Linked DNA regions of Kluyveromyces lactis. The protein of the gene in region 1 purifies or fractionates together with the protein of each later gene. This does not show direct contact. Links are inferred from orthologs where the notes say so. Each region holds a gene or a part of one and is shown on either strand. Other genes may lie near its edges.

Region 1 (3,233 bases):
GAAAGCCCTCCTTAAAACAGATCTGGGTGCTTTATATGAATCTGATGCAGAAGAGAACCCATATCTATCACACTCTGAGGAAGATGAAGAGCAAGCTGATTCGGATAAGAAAGATTCCGAGAAGGATAATGAAAAGCAAAGTCGGAGATCCTCACCAAAGAAGAAAGCTTCTGACACACCATCAGGTCCACCAAAATTAGTAGTAAAAAGCATTAATCAAAATATCGTTGTACTAACTGGTGAGAAATCAGTATTATCGAACTTCCCTGCAGGAGCCTGGAATCCAAACTTGAAGAAACGTCCAGCAGAGTCTCAGCCACAAGAATCTATGGACAATAAGAGGGCAAAGTCTGATCACTCGGCAGATGATTTGTTAACGGAAGACGATATAATCAATGCAATTGAGGGCAAGCAGTTGACTTTGAAACAATTAATCAGACAATTGAAAGAAAAGGTCGGTAGACATCCTGACAATAAAGAAAGAATGAAGGTTTTTGTCAAGAAACTTGTTAAACTGAACGGTAAATTCCTCGAATTGAGTAAGTAGTTAACATAATTTCCTCGTTTTCAAACCTCTGGAGATATACATGTAGTGATAATTGATATATATCACCTGGGTCCAATTGGAAGGGGCAGGAAATAGCATATTGATATAGTCAGTTTATTAACAATAAGTACGCTTAAAATAAATATATGTTATTTGAAAACAAGATATCTATAGGAAGTTATCATTTATAAAACTTCGACGATAGCATCGTCATCATCGTCGGACTCTTCTTCTTCTTCTTCTTCTTCTATCTCGGCTATTTCGCCATCTTCCGCAGATTTGGCCACGATTTCTTCTATCACTTGATTCTCCGGCTCACCTCTCATCAACATGTTAACAATTCTATGAGATAATTCACCGATATCGTCATTTCCAATATTTTTATGTAACTCTCTGACCAATGGGTATACTGATTTCGATCTTAAGTATTCTCTGCCGGCTTTAGTGGTACAAAGCAATAAAATACTTTCTAAATGCACACATATGATTTCAGGAATAGGATCTCTCTCTTTGTCGGCAGGTAAGAGTTGCAATTCATCCGGTAGATTGAACATATCTTCTTCATCAATTTCGGAGTCTTTAGCTGATGCAATCGGTAGAAGAATATAAGGTAAAAGATTGATTTCCTCATTAGTCAAAAGGTTTTCATGCTTTTCGGAATCAAATAACGAATTCTTGATGGTATAAGCCACACCTTCTCTTCTGGTTTTAGCATCATACTTTTCAGTGAATACCAATAGTTTAGAAATTGGGATGACGCCGTCATACTCCTGCTGTTCAATGAAATACTCTCTACCAATCTTAAATCTCGAAATGTCGGCAAAGAAATAAGCTAAGTAGTCATAAGTGGCATATCTGTTCAACTTTCTATCGTAACCCTTCACAAAACAATCCATTAAGCAATCCATTACTTTGTTGCTTTTAAAGACTTCTATGTTTAATGGAATACCATCGTCTTCCTTCTTAACAAACGAAAACAATTCGGTAATATTGTCTTCCTTGGCGAGATTAGACAATAAAATACACATGATATCCGCACTTGCGTTAGCTAAATCACAGATTTTCCACGATAAGTACTGTAGGAATTCAGTATCCTTGACGATCAACTTTCTCATAGTAACATCATCACATAAATTCGCTAAAATCGTAGTGGATTGTTGAACGATAACTTTTGACTTATCTTTAGCTAGAACTTTTAGATCCTCTATAGCTTTGTAATTATTACATTTGAAAATGACAGCACTTGCTCCAGTTGAGAAGCCAACCAGATTATCAAGAGCAATCTGTCTGACGGCAGGCTGGTCTGAATGCAAAAATGACACTAATTCTTCTAATTCCGTGGACATCTTCCCTCTTTATCGTATCAAGTAAACGCAGATATTTCGAACAAAGATGTTTTATTGAACAATGAAAGTTATAGTTGATTAGCTGGTGAACAATACCTAGTTACACCAACTGCCAACGTAGATATGGTTGATGCGATGAGCTGCGATGAGTTTGTCAAACGTTTCTCAAGTTTCGTGAAAGAAAAGGTTCGACTCTTTAAGGCGGGTAACAATTACATCAGCATCAAACCGACAATAACAGATCTCCATCTTCAATTAAATGAATAGAACCACCGTTAGAAACAGAGCTTTTCAATCTGCGATTCGATTGATCCTTAAGTGCTGCATTTATCATAATAAATCACTTTTATTCTAGTCTTGGCTTATTGCAACCAATTGCAATCATAACTACGAGATAACAGCATTGGAAAATGAGTTATCGCTTCACCGACCTAAAGTCTTCCAAAAGTGGAAGTTTCAACAACAACAAACTACTACGGATACAGGATTCTACAATGCTGACAGCAGGACTTAGTGCTGGGATATTGCAACTTCAATCTTTTGCAGGTTTTGGAATGTTTTTTGCTGTTTATATCCTGGTGAACCTCATATTTATAGCGTGGTTTTGCAAATTCAAGCCTAGTCTATATTTTACTAATCCAGTGCATAAAATATGGGTTAAAAATCTATTCCGCGAGCTAGCTGGGTTTGTCATGACTTGGACGTTAGCGTTCACTTTGGTCAGGTAACGCATATGACACATTTTGCATTAACGGGTTGATTTCATCTGAACGATATCACCATTAGGATTCTAGAAGTACTATAATATTATGGTCATTAAAACTTATAGCAGAGATAAATATTTGCATGTATTATAAACAGGATGATGATAAACAATATGTACATTTAAAGGATATTAATTTATTAGGTAGTAATCTGTTCTCAACAACAGATTTTAGAAGATATTAAGATCTTCGTGAGAGATATCACGGGGATACAAAACGTAAGAAATGGCAATCTTCATCAATAGAATGATTTAGAAAGTGAACCAGTTATTAGGGAAAGAAAGCGTGGTTATCAAATGCAAATATTCGAGGCAGAACAATTTTTTTTGTCTTGCTTTCCCAAGTTGAGGCTGACATACATCTATATCTGAATTTTTTCCACCAAAGTTGCTAACTTTTCAACACTAGCCAAATGCCTGTTACCCAAAGTGTTATTTTTATTGGATTTATCCAAATAGGATCTGATGGAAATAACAATCAACCTCTCATCTTCACCAGTTGCGACACCCACGAGCTTTTGAACAACGTAGTTCGCGTATTGATCCCGCATCATTAGAATCAATGGTGCATTATCTT
Region 2 (3,887 bases), on another chromosome or scaffold:
CACTTGTTTTATTCTGTCAGACTTGCCAGTAGCAGAAGCCTTGCTTGCAAAGGTTTCTAAAAGATCTCTTTTCAATGTAGTTGTGAAATTGATGTATGTTTCTGAATACTTATCTTCTTTCAAGTCCTGGACAATCGCATCGATGTTCGCTTCTGTTGGTTCCACGAAATACACTGCTGGAACATCAGGTAAAGGGGATCTCTGTTGTGTGATAAGGGCGTGAACTGTAACATTGGATTTTAACAAGTCATTGACTCTCATAACAGATGATATTATAGCGGTGCTCCTAGCATCCATGATCAGTACTTTCCAAACGATCTCTTGTTCATCAAGATTGCTTGTTGCTGCTTCCGTTCCTTTATCTGAATTGAACAGTAGCATCTTTTCAATAGACAGAATCTGTCTGTCTCTTAAGGACAATTCTGAATTCAGCATATTACTCTGGTATATATGTGATCCCGATGAGGTATGCTGTTCAATGGTTTGCAGTCAATGACTTCACTCTCGTCCGTACTTTCTGTACTTTTGGTGTGTCTGTTTATTATAAAGGTGCTTCCAGTTTTGATGTTTAATCATTTTTTGAAGTATATTAGTATTTCGTTTTCGGTGATGGAAACGGTATTTGGCCAACACGTAGATTTGGATCTATAGCACTCGTGAAGAGATCGCATATTACATATACATCGGCCAAACTTGAGTCTTGTACTTCGTATTTATTTCCATTTAGTATACATAATTCTATTTGATTTTGGAACCTACGTTAAAGACAGTGATATTTTTTAATTGTACCAGCTTCATTATTGTGGTGGACCTTCCTTCAATGTAGATCTACCGGCTCTGAGTAGTTCGTCGCATAGCAACAAGTTAGAGGCTATACCTGCGGCACCAGTTACTGCATTTCTGAGGACACGATAAGAGTCCCAAACACCTTCTATAGTTGGATCACAAGAGTCGCCAATATTTAGATCAACACCCACTATTCTTGTCTCATCTTCTTCCAACTCGTCTTGGCATTGGGCAAGTACATCAAGGGCATCATATCCGGAATTCTTTATTAATGTCTTAGGAATAGACAAAAGTGCGTCTGAAAAGGCTTGTACACCTGTTTTTGCTTTACCTTTGGCGCCTAGCTTGTTCATATTCGCCCTTTTCAAGTGCTGGGAAGCAGAAATGAAGAATGCCCCAGCGCCAGGAACGACAGCACTGTCTTTGATGACATTTGCAACAGCTCTTAAACCATCTCTTACTGCATCTTTGGTTTGGGTCAAAGCGTGGTGAGTAGAACCTTTAATCAAAATGGTACAAGACTTAGGATCTCTGTTTTCGGTGACGTAAGTAAATTTCTCCTCGCCGATAGTTTCCTGGTAAACCAATCCGGAATAACCTAAAATTTTAGGCGAAAGATCATCAACGGAATTTTGAGCTTCACCCCCAGTGACGAGTTGTAGTCTTTCCATATTACGTCTCTTGGCTCTTCTTAGAGCAAGAATGTTGTGTTTAGCAAGAACATCTAATGACATTGGGTCGATACCTTTTTGGTTTATGATAACAAAACCCTCTTTAGAATCCATACCACATACTTCATTCTTCAAGTCGATGATTTTTTTTAATTTCTCATCAACAAATTTTCTTTCACTAGCAGCCAACTTGTCTCGTTGGTCAGCAGAGCTGTAAAAGAAACCAGAGTTGACTTCCGTCTTCTCATATTCCAAAGAAACATTTAGAATCAAAACATGTGCATTTTCGACTCTGGTTGGCATATCAGGATGTCTTCCTCCATGATCCAAAATTAATCCTTTAACAAAAGTGGTATCCTGTGGAGATAGATGTTGCATTTGCATTATTTCAATCATGTGTAAATCTAGATTTCTGTTGTTAGGATCTTGAACAGCCAAAACAGCATCAGTGACGATTGGTGTTAAAACTTCAGTGAGTTCTGGGTTGACTTTAGTACATAAGGAACTTCTGGCAACCTGCAATAAAAATTCACGATCCAAATCCTCCTCAGCGCTCTTTTCGATTTTGAAGGTATCCAAAAAACTTAAGGTTTCCTTTCTTGCAATCTCAAACCCGTCAGTAATTGTTCTTGGATGGACACCTTCTTGAATATATCTATAAGCTTGTTTCATCAGTTCTCCCACCAAGCAGACAACGGTTGTAGTACCGTCCCCAGTAATTTCATCTTGGGCAGTGGCTGCACGAGCAATCATGACAGCAGTCGGAGACTGTATTTGCATTTCAGTCAATAGGACTTTACCATCTTTGGTCAACTTGATATTACCGGCACCATCGACCAACATTTTCAAAGTACCCTTAGGTCCTAGGTTAGTTTCCAAAACGGATTGAAGACCCTCCGCTGAAGTGACGTTGACTTTTAAAGCAGCATCTCTTCTTAGGGACTCGGCCTTTGGATTTAACAACTGAACTGACATAATTATCTTGCTTTCTCTCTATTATGCACTGCACGTAATTGGTATTGTCAAATTATGACTTTTGATCTGGATAATAAGATGCAAGCAATTGACTGCAATGAATATCACAACTAAATATTAGAGAGTATAGATTGATTTCGGTTCTATTAGAATCAACGTTGTGGACGAAAATGCAACAGTATCTTTCACTCTTTTGAATGTTATTCTTCTTCAACACCGAACGTTAGCCATAATTAAAAGCTTTACTTTCTCCATCAGAAAACTTAGATCACTGTTTTCGATTAATTTTTTTTCTTTGGAAGTGGCGAAAGCTAATGGTTACCCGGTTATTGAAGCAAAGCAACAATCCATGCTGTCGTGATCCTCATATTTATGCAAAGATGATGAAGATTATACTTTAGTAGGACCGCACATCTTCAGTATAATAAATACTAATAGTGGTTTTCAATGAGAATTCTCTAAATATTTTGGTCTTCTGTAAATTGATTTATATGATGATATGTATTGAATCTATTCACATGAAAGACTATGCCGAAATGATGTCCGTTATGACGACGATGATGGCTGTTTTATGGATTGTTTCCTATACGAAACGAGGTAAACAGTAACTTTCTCTATTGATATTCATTTTTTAACTATTGTCATTTCACTGGGTCTATTTTATCCTATTTCTTGGGCCGCCTGGAGACTTCTTGTTCCTTGCCGTCAAGACTTCAACACCATTCTCGGTGACCAAAAGGGTTTGCTCAAACTGAGCACTAACTTTACCATCCTTTGTTGAAGAAGTCCAATCGTCAGGCCAGGTGATATCTTGCCATACACCTTCGTTAATCATAGGTTCTATAGTGAAGACCATTCCAGGTTTCATGACACCGGGCGTTCTGTTGTTAGCATAATGTGGAATGCTGGGGGCACAGTGGAAAAACTCACCGACACCATGACCACAGTAAGTCCTAACAACAGAGCATTTGTTGGATTTGGAGTGCTTTTCAATGCAGTCTCCCAAGGATTGAAAAGTTACGCCTGGTTTACACATCTTGATGGCGAGTTTCAAACATTCACGGGCAGTTTCAACGGTATTTATGACATCCTTGGCGATAGTCTCACCAACGTAGTAAGTTTCGTTTAAATCTGCATGCATGCCTTGGTAATACAATGAGACATCTAAATTGACAATATCTCCCTCTTTTAGAACATATTTGTCAGGAACACCATGACAGATAATCTCGTTCACAGAAGTACAGACGGATTTAGGGAAATTATAGTAGTTGAGAGGAGATGGGTATGCTCCCCTCTTGATAGTCTCGTTATGCACTATCTCATCAATTTCATCCGTAGTGATACCTGGTCTAACTGCGGCGGCCGCAACATCTAGCACTTCTCTACCTAGAGCACAAGCTTTTCTGATCCTCTTAATTTGCTCCTTATTGTAGACAGGAATCTTGTTTGTTCTAT

The links.
Region 2: the proteins of HGH1 (region 1) and CCT6 purify together in Saccharomyces cerevisiae (affinity purification with mass spectrometry, with the first as the bait; 3 studies listed by BioGRID). This does not show direct contact. The link is inferred for Kluyveromyces lactis from reciprocal best matches to the Saccharomyces cerevisiae genes HGH1 and CCT6.

What each region holds. Positions count from the first base shown.
Region 1 is NC_006042.1:1,426,105-1,429,337, forward strand, and holds HGH1 (Hgh1p), read right to left. Parts: upstream 1,894-3,233; coding exon 733-1,893; downstream 1-732. Other genes in the region: transcription factor IIF subunit TFG1, read left to right, coding at 1-547; EMC6 (Emc6p), read left to right, coding at 2,304-2,621; mRNA-binding protein PUF3, read right to left, coding at 3,019-3,233.
Region 2 is NC_006040.1:1,555,283-1,559,169, reverse strand, and holds CCT6 (chaperonin-containing T-complex subunit CCT6), read right to left. Parts: upstream 2,433-3,887; coding exon 798-2,432; downstream 1-797. Other genes in the region: SLY1 (syntaxin-binding protein), read right to left, coding at 1-435; methionine aminopeptidase MAP1, read right to left, coding at 3,088-3,887. UniProt on the Saccharomyces cerevisiae protein: Molecular chaperone; assists the folding of proteins upon ATP hydrolysis. Known to play a role, in vitro, in the folding of actin and tubulin. In yeast may play a role in mitotic spindle formation.